3 linked regions of the Caenorhabditis elegans genome follow. The protein of the gene in region 2 purifies or fractionates together with the protein of the main gene of each other region. This does not show direct contact. Each region holds a gene or a part of one and is shown on either strand. Other genes may lie near its edges.

The links.
Region 1: the proteins of copd-1 (region 2) and copb-1 fractionate together in Caenorhabditis elegans (co-fractionation; one large-scale study listed by BioGRID). This does not show direct contact.
Region 3: the proteins of copd-1 (region 2) and tmed-10 fractionate together in Caenorhabditis elegans (co-fractionation; one large-scale study listed by BioGRID). This does not show direct contact.

The regions. Positions count from the first base shown.
Region 1 is NC_003280.10:3,077,125-3,081,827, reverse strand, and holds the start of copb-1 (Coatomer subunit beta), read right to left. Parts: upstream 3,033-4,703; 5' UTR 3,023-3,032; coding exon 2,530-3,022; intron 1,441-2,529; coding exon 1,232-1,440; intron 571-1,231; coding exon 488-570; intron 1-487.
Region 2 is NC_003281.10:6,622,197-6,626,623, forward strand, and holds copd-1 (putative coatomer subunit delta), read right to left. Parts: upstream 2,777-4,427; 5' UTR 2,766-2,776; coding exon 2,624-2,765; intron 2,540-2,623; coding exon 1,907-2,539; intron 1,850-1,906; coding exon 1,478-1,849; intron 1,412-1,477; coding exon 1,303-1,411; intron 1,098-1,302; exon of another isoform or gene 1,045-1,097; coding exon 753-1,044; 3' UTR 504-752; downstream 1-503. UniProt on the Caenorhabditis elegans protein: The coatomer is a cytosolic protein complex that binds to dilysine motifs and reversibly associates with Golgi non-clathrin-coated vesicles, which further mediate biosynthetic protein transport from the ER, via the Golgi up to the trans Golgi network.
Region 3 is NC_003283.11:11,323,433-11,328,674, forward strand, and holds tmed-10 (GOLD domain-containing protein), read right to left. Parts: upstream 3,533-5,242; 5' UTR 3,515-3,532; coding exon 3,410-3,514; intron 3,290-3,409; coding exon 3,227-3,289; intron 3,177-3,226; coding exon 2,852-3,176; intron 972-2,851; coding exon 850-971; 3' UTR 533-849; downstream 1-532. Other genes in the region: str-141 (Serpentine receptor class r-10), read right to left, coding at 55-136, 209-388.

The sequences.
Region 1 (4,703 bases), on a different chromosome or scaffold from region 2:
TGGAGGTTTTGGAGGTCTCAAAACTGCAATTATCTGATTTTTCGCCTATTTTTTTTTGACAAAAATCGCGGAATTTTCAAGATTTCGGGGTCTAAAGACGGTAATTTTCTAACTTTTTATCTTTTTTTTTTTCAGAAAAACGCGAAATTTTCACGGTTTTGGGGCTTTTGGCGTCTAAAACTCGATTTTTTTGAGAATTTTGATAGGTTTTTCAAGAAAAAATAAAGATTTAATTATTTTTCAGCTTATTAACGAAAAAATTGCACAATTTCCAGGTTTTGGAGCATTTTTTTCGAAAAAAAAAAACTCAACATTTTTCATTTTTTCAGGCTATTTTTCGAGAAAATCGCTGAATTTTTAAGGTTTTGGGGTCTAAAAATCGTAATTTTCCAGTTTTTTCGCTAAAATCGCACAATTTTTATGGTGTTGGCGATTTTTTGTCCATTTTTTCCAGGAAAATCCGTCATTTTTCCAAGATTTTCCTCACCTAACGGCTGGTGATGATGACTGAAGAAGATTGTAGACACATCTGATGAATCGGGAAGCCTCGTTTGGATTATTGTGGCAAACCTGAAAGAAAATTGGAGTTTTTGGATGATTTCGGCCATTTTTTTTCAGTTTTTTCGGTTAAAATTGGAGGAAAATCATATTTTTCGATAAATTTATCGTATTTTCGTTGAAAAAACCAATTTTTAGTTAATTTTAAAATTAAAAATCGATTTTCACACATTTTTATAGTGAAATTTCTAGATTTTCACGATTTTTCTGAGATTTTTGCTTAAAAGTTCATATTTTCATTCAATTTTCATAAAAAGCGACGTTTTAAATGAAAATTCTCCGTTTTTTTAAAACAAAAATAGCCTGTTTAACAAGTTTTTCTCAAAAAATCGATATTTTCAATCAATTTTCTTGAAAATCGCCGTTTTTAATGTAAATTCTCCATTTTTCAACGAAAAAACGCCATTTTTATAGCTTTTTTACTCTAAAATTCACATTTTCAGTTAATTTTCATAAAAAAAGTGCCGTTTTTAATGGAAATTCTCCGTTTTTTAACAAAAAAAAAAACCCCATTTTTACAGGGTTTTGTCAGATTTTTCCTTAAAAAACCGCAATTTTCTTGAAAATCGCCGTTTTTAATGAAAATTCTTCGATTTTCAACGAAAAAAACCCCATTTTTACGGGTTTTTTCTCAAAAAATCGATATTTTCAGTCAATTTTCCACAGAATGCACCTTATAAATGAGTTCAACAATAACGAGCTGCAATATATCTCCAAAAGATCCGACTTGATCGATACATCCCGATAAATAGTCAAGAGCACGAGCTTGATCTACGTGAAGGAGCATCATAAAAGCGTTACGCTTGCACGAAGCATCTTGCTCCTGTTCAAGGTATTCTGTGACGAGCTCCGGTGCGTCTGGGATCAGGAATTCAAAGTTTTCTGGAAAAAAAGCGGGATTTTTGGATTAAACGGGGAAAAAATGATCAAAAAATGCGAAAAAATCACCTAATTTTAGCTAAAATCATTAATTTTGGTCAATTTTCCGGTCCCGAAGTTGGTTTTTTCTCAAATTTTCACCTTTTATTGCATATTTCCATTGATTTTTCGTTAATTAAGGTGCATTTCAAGACCAAACTCGCATTTTTAGCTGAAAAATACGATTTTTCCTGGTTTTTTTGCAGAAAATATGACATTTTTAGCTGGAAATCTGCAAGTTTTTCAGGTTTTTCCCTGAAAAATTCGATTTTTCTGCTTAAAATAACGAAATTTTACGTATTTTTAGCTTAAAACATCAAAAAGTCGAATTTTTTTTCCATCTTCCAGCTTAATAATCGATTTTTGGCAACAAAAATCAGACAAAATGCTCATTTTTCAGCTGAATATTGGCATTTTTGCCGTTTTTCAGCGAAAAATAGTCAGAATTTCGTTGGAAATGTGATTTTTCTTGAAAAATCATGAAAAATCGTATTTTTCAGCAAAAAAACTGAAAAAAAAACCCCAAATTTTAGCTGAAAATGGGATTTTTGCCATTTTTGGCTGACAAAATCGCATTTTCAGCTAAAAATGTGTTTTTTGGCATAAAAATTGTAAAAAATCGTATTTTTCAGCTCAAAAAACATGAGAAATCGCAATTTTCACCAAAAAAAACTGAAGAAACCTTCAAATTTCGGCTAAAAATGCGATTTTTGCCATTTTTGGCTGAAAAATTCGCCAATTTTCAGCTAATAAAGGGATTTTTTCGCAAAAAATCGCAAATTTCACCGAAAATGAGCCTAGAAAATCGCATTTTGGAGCAAAAAATCAAAAATCTTAAGAAACCCTCAAATTTCGGCTAAAAATGCGATTTTAGCCGTTCTTGGCTGAAAAATTCGCCAATTTTCAGCTAAAAATGCGATTTTTTGCAATAAATGTACCTTTTATCAACTAAATAACGTAAAATATGCAATAAAAGGTGAAAATTCTTGGAAAAAAGTCATTTTTCGCATTTTCAAGCCCATTTCAGGCCTAAATAAGCCCAAAAAAACTCACTATAAATAGTGAAAATCGCGCAGACAGCGTTACGACGAACATACGAGTGCCGATGCTCCAAACAAGCTCTAATCGCCGGCATAAGCGGCTCGAGAAGCTCGGGCTCACGGAGTTTGCACAAAAACCGAAGGGTCGAACCGCGAACGAACTCATTCGGGTGTTGAAGGTCTTTTCGGTAGGCATCGCACACCAGAATCATCTCGTGGAGCAGCTTTCCATTGGAATCCGTCTTCGGAACACATTCCCAGAAGATCAAGAGCACTTTTTTAAGGGTGTGCTCATTGGATGGAAGACAGAAGCGGATGACGTACATTAGCATGCTCTGCGACGTTTTTTCTCCGTTTAAAATCATGTAAATGAGCTTTTTGAGCGCCTCAATTCGCTCTTTATCGCCTCCTTTCTCGAATTTTTCCTTCAATTGAGCTTCTGATGGGAGCTCAGCGTCACTGGGCACGTGGATGAGTGTGTAGCATGGTTGCTCTCCGGAGCTCATTGTGGAGGAGCTGGAAATTCGGGTTTTTTGTGGGGAAAAGAAAGAAAAAAGTAGAGAAAGTTCACGTTTTAAAAAAAAATTTGTGAAAAAATTGAATTTTCCAGCTAAATCGCATTTTTCTGTGAAAAATCATCGAAAATCATCGAAAAACGCCAGAAAATGAATAAAAATCGTCAAAATACGCTGGAAAACCCCCGAAAATCGCCTTTAAGCATGAAAAATGCCCAAAAACGTCAGAAAATGGATAAAAATCATCAAAAAACGCTGTAAATGACAAGAAAATCACTCTGAAGCATGAAAAATGCTCAAAAACATCAGAAAAATCAAAAACATCAGAAAAATTGAATTTTTGACCATTTTTAACCCTAAAACTCTTCGAAATCCAGCTGAAAACCCGATTTTTTAGTCAAAAATTCCGTTTTTTGGCGTAAAAATCGGAAAATCCCGGCTTTTAACCTAAAAATTAGGTGTTTACTGAAAATTTCCAAATTTTCGGCTAACAATCCCCATTTTCAATCGATTTTTTCCATTTTTCACTGAAAAAATCAATTTTTTAGCTTAAAAATCGAAAAATATCGGTTTTTAAGCTAAAAAATCAGATTTTTACTGAAAATTTCCAAATTTTCGGCTAAAAATCCCCATTTTCAATCGATTTTTTCCATTTTTCACTGAAAAAATCAATTTTTTAGCTTAAAAATCGAAAAATATCGGTTTTTAAGCTAAAAAAATCAGATTTTTACTGAAAATTTCCAAATTTTCGGCTAAAAATCCCCATTTTCAATCGATTTTTTCCATTTTTTCAGTAAAAAATGCCAAATTTTTTACTAAAAATGCAAATTTTCTGACTGTTCTTGTAAAAAAATTGAAAAAATTCAATTTTTTGGACAATTGTATGCAAAATTCGCCTTTCCCTCGGTTTTTTTTTGTGGTAAAACCCCGCGAAAATTCGCTTTTTTTGCCTTAAAACTTAATTTTTAATGGAAAAAAAAACGCGAAAAGTTGCAAAAATCCACAAAAAATGCGATTTTTGTTAGTTTTAGCTGAAAAAAATTGCATTTTTCAGCTAGAAATCTGAAAAATCACACAAATTGTTGCTAATAATGCAATTTTTGCCAGTTTTGGCTGAAAAAATTGCATTTTTCAGAAAAAAATACTGAGAAAACCACCAAAATTCTGCTGATAATGGGATTTTTTGTCGTTTTTGCCTGAAAAAATCGCATTTTTCAGCAAAAACTGTAACTTTTTCTGCAAAAAACACAGAAAATCGAATTTCTAATGGAAAAAAATCGCAAAAATCCACAGAAAACTACGGAAAAAGTTGCGAAACTTGATTTTTCACAAAATTCTCTCATTTCGCCTGGTTTTTATTGATTTTTTGACAGAAATCTAGGCTTTAAAGCTGTAAAACCCAATTTTCAACGACAAATTGATTTAAATTGACCTAATTCAACGCCACGTCACTTTTCACTCTTTCTACCTGTTTTTTATCGATTTTTGCCGCTTTTTCGACTGAAATATAGCTTTAAAAGCTTCAAAAATCAATTTTTAACCTCAAAAACCCACGAAAAAACGAAAAAATCCGCTGAAAACCGGCAAAAATCCACGTAAATCGCCGGAAAAAGATTGGAATCTAGATTTCTCGCACAGTGACGTGGTTCTCGCCATCCACCGTACCCCGTGA
Region 2 (4,427 bases):
AATATTCAATTTAAACCAGAGGTGGGCGGATATTTTTTTCGGATATTTTCTAATAATGAATTTATCAATAAGTATTGATGTAGTTATTCTGGAAGAAATGTATCCGAACAAAAGAGTAACTATTAAGCAACATTTTAATATGATAAAACCTAGAAAAATTCTACAAGTTTTCTGTATAAACGATATGCAAGTCCATTATCCGATATCCGTAATATCCGTAGTATCCGATATCCGATGTTGCTCGGCTAATAAGTTTTAAGGTCTCGGTAAGGAAAACTTGTAGAATTTTTCTAGGTTTTATCATATTAAAATGTTGCTTAATAGTTACTCTTTGGTTCGGATACATTTCTTCCAGAATAACTACATCAATACTTATTGATAAATTCATTATTAGAAAATATCCGAAAAAATATCCGCCCACCTCTGATACTCTACTGATACTGATACTCTGATACTGACTACTCGATTCTATATTCTCATTGAAATGTTTGAAAAACAATCGTACAAAAAAAATGTATCCGTAAAACCCAAAAGAAATGGAAATAAATAGAAGAGCATACATAAATTAAAATATTCTCAATAAATACAGTATGAATTGGGTCGGAGGAGAGTGGCTTATGCATCACAGCAATCAAAGGGATAACATGATTTGCAAAAAAGGAATCATGAATCTCTAGAAAAATTAGTGGCTTGGTGGTGGTATTGGAAGCAATAAAAATATCAATCTTGAAGATCTCTCGAATAGGAATAAATTACACAATTTCGAAATTTTCCGAGTTGAAAGTAGTCTCCACTGAATAAGTTACCGGCGATCCATCATTTTTCACAACTTTTTGTACAGTAATCGGCACAAACAAGTTTTCAGAAGTGAATCCAACGGAGACAGGGAAGAAATGATCACAATGGCCATTTGGAACTGAGAATTCAAGGGTTCCCGAAGAGTTCGAGCTGTCAATCACAGCTAAGGACCAAACAATCACGTTCTTCGTCTTGTGGTACTCATATTCTCCATCACACTCACCAACGGATGGAGCTGTCGCAGTTCTGAAAAATAATACTTACTCACATGATATGGAATGATAAAGGTGCCTTCGAATATTTTTTCTGTTTTCATTCAAGCAAAACCAACAAAACGATAAGCCGGAAAATTGTAAACTGAACGAAAATTTTTGGGTTTTTGAAAACTTAAAATTTTTTTTTCAGATTTTGGAAAAACCAAGAGAACTAAAAGGTTTTTGTTGGAAAACACGGCAGGACTGATATGTATACCAAAATTGTCAAAATAAACTTTGAAAAACTCACGGAAGTGGCACAATGATGCGAACATTGTTCAAAGTGATGTCCTCTCTTTGCAATGTGTACTCAATATTGACTTGGACTCCATCAGATGATTCTTGAGGCCAGCAATTGACTGAAATTTGCAAAATGGTTGAAAATTATACCAATACAATTGTGAATTGTTTGTCTTCTAACTTACAAGAAATTGGCAACTGCTCTTCTTCGGAAAGTGCCATTTTCCATTTGAGAATTCCCACATCTGAGTTAACTGGATATGGTTTTCCGTTCGGCTTAATTTTCAGTGTCGACGAAGATTGCCATTCCTTCTTATCGAGATTTGGATGAACTTGAAGTTGAGTTCCAGCTGCAGATCCATTATTCATTTTAATTGAAATTGGAATAAATTCGGGAGATCCAATAGAGAGGGTAACAGTGGCTTGTACTTCTCCTGATTCGAGCCCTCCATCACGACTGACACGGGTATTAATTTTCTCTTCAGTTCTAACGTGAACGACTTCTCTCTTGACACGTGGAGCTGTGGAGATCGGTGCGGCGAGAGAGGAAACTCCTCCTGAAAATTATAAAATTTATATGTAAAATAAATTTAATATCAAAAAAAGTTGATTACCTGAAAGACTAGCTTTCTGTACTGGTGCAATGCTTTGACCTTGTTGTCTCAATGTATCCAAGAAATCATCTTCATTATTCGTTTTTCCTCCCAACTTCAGTGCCTTTCCACCTCCAATTGGTCCCTTCGGTGCCGATGGTCGTGGAGCCGCTGGCTCAGAAACTGCAGCTGCATTTGGAGTGGATGATGAAGAGATTCCTGTGCTTGATTGATAACTTGGCTTGAGCCCTCTGCTCAAAGCCTCCTTCTGAGCTCTCTTGAGTTCCTTGGCCTTTTCAGCCATTGCCTGCTTGGCAGCTTTCTCTTGAGCTTCCTTGATCTGCATAAAAACTCTTTCCTCATGAGAATCCATCTCTGTGAAAGTTCTGATTTGAGCAAGATTGACGCTCTCGCGGTATCCGAGAGTGACGACCTCATCGAATGCAAAAATCAGATCAAAATCGTGAGCAAGAATCTCTTTCTCCTCATTTGAGCGGCAATACTCTGGAATGACTCGTACGAAAAGGCGTAAAGTTTCCAAGTCCTCGAGAATGTTCGAGTTTTTCGTTGTCACCAACACAAGGTAAATGTTGTCCAGAGGGTGATAAACGTAGCGGACGCTGTCTGTCTCGACAAATGTATGTTGACGAGTAGCTGAAAACAATTTAATGTTTAAAAATCAGAAATAAAATTAATGTCTAAGGGTTTCCAATATACATAGTACTTTTTTTAACTGACCAGCTTCCTTCTCATTCCCAATAAGCTTCGGGAAAGCATCAACGAGCCCTTCCAAACGAGATCTCATCATGTCATTTACGAACTGCCGGGCAACAAGCAATTTTCCCGTCTTCGAGAGGATGCAAGCGGCGATCAACACCATTGTGAAATACTCTGAAACGAAATAATGGCATCGAAATGGGAAAAAAAGCAGAAAAATTAAGTACACGTTGGTTTTACGCTTATATGCTACGGGAAAGTTTAATAATTAATTTAATTGTATTACATTTTAGTTAAGTACGGTTATCAATATTAAATATTGAAAACATCTAAACTTATATTGTTCTGTGAAGAGTTCCAATAAAAATCGAGTAAAAATTCGGAAAAACTAGGAAAAAATCGTGTGAAGTTTTGAGATAATGATGGAAATATATTAAAAATTTTGTTGATGCTTCAAAAAACTTAAAGTACGGAGTACGACACCAATAATTTCAAATTTCTCTAATTACGTCGCCATTTAATCCAAATTCAATGAAATTTAAAGTGTATAGCATATTTAGGGACATAAATAACTCGATTTTCAATTAAAAACAAAAAATTTAAAGCTAGAAACTATTAAAAATCAGCTTAAAAGATGAAAATCTCCAACGAACAACCAGTGAAACGTCATTTCGTTGCGAGACCTCCCCGCGGCCGCTGACCGGGAAAAGGGTAGTTTTAGGCCATGAGCAGGAAAAACTTTTTTGGCAGGCATAGAATTTCTTTGAGTGCACATTTGATCAAATATTTGAGAGAAATTTTATGAATTAAAAAAATATTCGCGACTGAAAAAATTCTAGCAGCAATCTTTTTTTTGAGAGAGAATCGATCAGTTTTTCAATCGTTTTTAAGCACTTAAAAAATGTCACACGTGAGAATTTAAATTAGGTTCATGATTTGAATTCAGGGCAAATACTGTTTTACTATTTGATCTTTTGGAAATTAAAATTTTTTCAACACAAAAGCCAACGCCAAAGAGAGGAAGGGTCTGAAGAAGGTCTCAGCGACAGGATCGAGCCAAAATGGCTCAGCGAGCGAGTATACTCAGACAAACGCTTAGTAGTTTAATTAGATTTCAACCATATTTGATTAGAAACTGAGCAAATATAATGGGGACATAATTAATAGGCTTCCTATTCTAATCCAATATGGATTTTCTAATCAAATATGGTTGAAATCTAATCCAATGTGGAACAAATCTAATCCAATATGGCCGAAATCTAATCCAATATGGAACAAATCTAATCCAATATGGCCGAAATCTAATCCAATATGGTCGAAATCTAATCAAATATGGCTGAGATCGTGCCATATTGGATTAGATTTCGACCATATTGGATTAGATTTCGACCATATTAGATTAGATTTGTCTTCTAATGAAATATGGAGGAAATCTAATCTAACATGGATTTCTAATCTAATATGGAGCAAATATAATGCAATACGGATTTTCTAAACAAATATGGTTGAAATCTCGTTTAATAGACAGGTGCGAGTCACGGCTAACCGACTCAAAATCACTGCTAATTAGGCAAAACGGCCAAAAAACCAGAACTAATTAGCTTAAAACCATGGCTAATTAGCAAACCATTGCTAATTAGCAAAAAAGCAGTGCTAATTAGCAATAATACACAGCGCCTCAAATCTGGAGAGAACAGCGAAAAAAGTGGTTTTGGAGCGGGAGCGCGTTTGCTGCAGACGTCGCACGAATTGGAATTAATGTATAGCAAAACAGTAAAATATCGCGTTTTTGCTGGATTTTAGGGATTTTAAAGCAATTTTCAAC
Region 3 (5,242 bases), on a different chromosome or scaffold from region 2:
GAAATTCATTTTTTGTTTAAGAGTTCTATGAAAAGTAAAATGTTTAAAACTAACAAGCAACTACATTTCCAATGCCTTGAGAAAAAACGTTATTATCAAGAAACACGACAAACATTGGACCTTTCATGTATAGTACCTGAAAGACGATTATTTGAAGTAACATTCTCAAAATTTCAATTTCAAGTTCCAATTTTCTATTGTATCGTACCGGCTGTGCAATTATCTCTACTGCAGAGTACAACATCGAACAAAATGTGAATACAAACATAACATGACGGTAACTACCAAACAGTTTTCCAGCTCTTTTCACAATTAATATTGCCAGAACAGTATTGAAGATTTGTGCTCCGAAAAAGCCGGCGTAGTGGAAAATATGTAGACCGATCATTGTTGTAAGTGAACTGGTGGAGAATGAAGTCTGAAGTTATTTCTGAAAGGATGACGTCTGAAAAAGACTTCTTGAAAAGTGATCTTATGTACTTTACTAAATCACCATATGGTGAGTAAATTACCAATTGATGTTTCAATGTTTCAATTTAAAAGTTCATAATAATGATTTTAAAAAACGGCAATGATGAAAACAGAAAAATAAGACGGAAACATTACACACTATACATTTTACCCTTTGTTGATACTTGTGCAGATTAACGGGGGAGGAAACAACTAAAATCCAACAAAATAAAATACTCATTATCATCATTATCTAGTAAAAAAGATGTGGGAACCAATTAGAAATCACATGAAACGTTTGGGTGTGTGGACAAAAGAGATGTTGGGGGAAAAGCAAGAAGTTGAGGAGAACCGAAAAAAAAATTGATAAATTAATCATAAATTAAGGGTTGGGGAAATCTAGTCGATAAGCTTTTTCGACTTGAAGTAATTACGGAGGAAAAGAACTTGCCAAATGGCAAGACCAAGAAGGCACAGCATTGAAAAGATGGACAGGTAAAGAACTCGGCTGTTTGTCGATTCTGTAAAAAAAAGTAAAAAATAGATGGTTGTCGATGAATCGAATAATTAGAGTTTGCTCAAGTAAAGTGGTAAACAATTTCCAGGGATCACAATATCCTGCTCCGTGAAGAGAATGAATTGCGTCTCGAAACGATATGTTGTAGCCTTACAAATCTATTTAATTAACAATGATAATAAAAGCTTAATACAGTGCTCCACATAATGATACGGCCACCCCCAAATTTTGGTATAACTCAAAACTGGGTTGAGATAGCAAAACATAATTTCTTGTGAAAATGTCCGCTGTACTGGCTAACTTTCAGATAAGTATTGGAAATATACATGAACCGTTCGTAAAAAAAGATAAACCATTTTTTCATGAAAATCCATATAAAAAAATCCACAAAATGATACGGCCACCCTTGGTTTTTGTTTTCTTTTTTCGTTTTCTTTGCAATTTTTTTTTGCTAAACGTTAGGTTTTATGTTCGTTTGTGTTTTTACAGCTATGTGTCGTGGAATAACTTTAACTGACTACGGAAAAAGACGAATTGTGCAAAATTATCTCAAGGCTTTTCGGATCGTCAGATTTTTCGTGATTTGAAACGTTCAAGAGATATGATCACTCGATTTGCTTCAAATCCTGCCACTTATTGCACCAAAAAGTCTTCTGGTCGCCCACCACTTCTTTCTGGTAGAGACAAGCGAAAAATCGTTCGTCTAGCATCCAATTGAACAGTGACTTGCTCAAAAATTAGGCGCGAGATGAACCTGCCAGTGTCTGTTGAGACTGCACGACGTGTTATTTCGAAGTCTCAGTTTATCAAAAGACGAAAATTAGGAAAGGCTCCTTTCATTACCGAAAAACACTGCCAAAGTCGTATTCAGTTTGCTAAAATCAGCCAGAGAACTAACTGGAGACAAGTGAGGATTACGGTATGATCATTCAAGCTCATGTATTGGTCTCAGATCATCTTCAGTGACGAGGAAAAGTTTAACTGTGATGAACCAGAAGGCTACCGTGATTACTGGTACGATTTGAGAGAAGAAAAGATGAACTAAAACCAAAATTGGGCTTGAATGATCATACGGTAATCTTCACTTGTCTCCAGTTAGTTCTCTGGCTGATTTTAGCTAACTGAATACGATTTTAGCGGTTTTTTCGGTAATGAAAGGAGCCTTTCTCAATTTTCGTCTTTTGATAAACTGGGAATTCGAAAGAACACGTCGTGCAGTCTCAACAGACACTGGCAGGTTCATCTCGCGCCTAATTTTTGAGAAAGTCACTGTTCAATTTGATGCTCGACGAACGATTTTTCGCTTGTCTCTACCAGAAAGAAGTGGTGGGCGACCAGAAGACTGTTTGGTGCAATGAGCGGCAGGATTTGAAGCATATCGAATGATCATATCTCTCGAACGTTTCAAATCACGAGAAATCTGACGATCCGAAAAGCCTTGAGATAATTTTGCACAATTTGTCTTTTTCCGTAGTCAGTTAAAGTTATTCCACGACACATAGCTGTAAAAACACAAACGAACATGAAACCTAACGTTTAGCAAAAAAAATTGCAAAGAAAACGAAAAAAGAAAACAATAACCAAGGGTGGCCGTATCATTTTGTGGATTTTTTTATATGGATTTTCATGAAAAAATGGTTTATCTTTTTTTACGAACGGTTCATGTATATTTCCAATACTTATCTGAAAGTTAGCCAGTACAGCGGACATTTTCACAAGAAATTATGTTTTGCTATCTCAACCCAGTTTTGAGTTATACCAAAATTTGGGGGTGGCCGTATCATTATGTGGAGCACTGTACTTGGATAATCGGCAATGCATTATTTTTAAATTAAAATAATTACGAACCTTTTATATGATTCAAATGATTTTTTAAACACTTACCGTTCGTATTTCTCATTTCTTCCTCTCTTTGGCGCATGAATGCGAAATCTTTGGTGATTGAATCAGCCATATCCTCCAATCTTCTAAGTTCAACCTCGAGTGGCTTCAGCTTCTCGGCTTTGGCAATATCATCATAATTCTTGGCTTCGACTCCGTGCTTCAAAATAAGAGAAACCTCGCGCTTCTCTCCAGGATGCCCAGCTGGTGGATGATTCTCAATGCAAATCTCAAAGATGTCGTATTCGTCAGCAGTGAACGCGAATTTTCCTTTTAGATCAGCAAAGTTTTCACGTTTGTAGAGAGTGTGGCCTCTGGTGTCGGTGACCTGAAAATAAATTAAAAATTTGAAGTAATTTTGAAACTATTTTTACTCACGTGAATACTTCCAGTGTATTGAATTCCTTGACTGAACTCATATTCTCCTGTTACGACCACATTCTGCAAGAGGTTTTATTAGACATAAATTCTGATGTTTATTAAATATATCAATTTTTAACGAAAAAAAGTATGTTTGACATCTTTACTGCTATGGTAACAAGGAGTTGTAAAAGTATTTACCTTGTGAATTTCCTCTTTCAGACACTTTTTCTCTTTTGGTGGCACGTAGAACCTCAGAGAATGGGCAAGAACGATAGCTGACAGAAAGATAACTAGAGATTTCATAATTGTTCGGATGATTACCTGGAAATAAATGTAAGAAAAATGCGATAATGAATATTAAGTTGTTCAAAAGTTATCATGGACAAAAATCAGTTCATGTTAAAGGAATACACAGCAAAAATCAATACAAACGCCGAAAATAAATTTAAAAAAGATGGAATTAAAACCAACGCGGCGTATGCAGTTGCGCGTGGGATCGAGTGTGTACGCAAACACGCATTGGCAACCGTAGTTGAGTTGTCAACGTTGACAAACGCATTTTAACAGGAAAACACAGCGCCTCAAATCGGGAGAGTTAAGAAAATCGAGAATAGGAAAGTCCAACGGAGCGCGTTTGCACACTTTTACGGTATTAAATGAGTTTCAGACGAAATTTCGCGATTATTCGAGTTTTCAAGATGAAATTTGGAAAAAATAATTAAATATTGGGATTATTATTGCTTTAAAAAAGTTTTAAAAAACATTTTATTCAACAAATTCACGATTTGGCTGCTTTTTCATTGATTTTCGAACCGACTAGAACAAGTTAACTTTATGACAAAATTTCTACGCGAAACAAATTTTTTCAAGCATTAATATGTTTGATTCCAATTTTTAAACGTCAGCTTGATAGAGATAACACGGTTTCACGTCTTGAAATTGTTCAAAAATGCCCACATCAACGGAAACTGTTTAGTTGGCAGCTGATCTTCACTAAACCAACACTAAATGTTCAGATCAAATCACAACTTGTTTGATCATTTGAAAAAACATTTTTGAATCATTGTTTCCCACAAAAAGCAGATGATAAGTAGTATAGCATGATGAGAATCCATTAGATTCTTCATATGCGCATAGCTATAGATACTGTATCTTCGACAACTCCTATCTCCTCAGAGATGCAAGATATCAAAAAGTGATTAACTAGGAAATTGTAGAAACTATACTAATTAGTTAAAATCATGTGTTTATCTCTTAAGATGAGGGAGTTAGAGCAGCCAGTAGAATAACAAAAAGCATGCAATACAAATGTACGTCTAACTCCCCCATCTTGAAAGATAAAAACGCAGGTTAAATTGAATATCATAGTTTTTGATGTGCTCTACAAGTTCTCTCACCTCTCCGAGTAGATAGGAGTTGTCGAAGTTGAGGTATCTAGAGCCGTAGAGGGCAGGAAGAACCTGATGGTTCCTTATTAAGAAAAAGAAAATATAACACGAAACTTGTAAAAAATGTTAATTTGATCATTTATGTGAGTATTTGATCCATTTTTTAAGGAAAATTGGAGAGCAACACTTGCATAAGAAATTTGGCGTGGCATAGATCCATTGGTAGATTGGAACATTGAAATTTGATCAGAACTATTTGTACTTTTAGTGATTTTGATTGATTTGTAGCTTTATTCTAGTGAAATCTTTGATTTCATACAAGTTTTTTAACCAATTTTGCAAGATTTCCCTTGATAAATGTTGCTTTACTTTTTTATCGATTTCGTTGTAAAGAAAAATCATTTTCTGTGTTATCAGTCAAATTAATGACTAAAACACTTTAAAAAGATTCAAACTATTAGTAAAAATTCTAAAATTGAATATTTATGCAATAAATTGCTCTAAAATCAATTTTTATTTGCAAAATTCTGTTTTTGGTCAAAAAAAATTTTCAGATCCGCCGAAATTCAGAGCTCATTTCGAGCTTATTTGGGGGAAAATTTATATTAAAATGAAGTAAATCGCATCGCGAACAGTCTCTGGG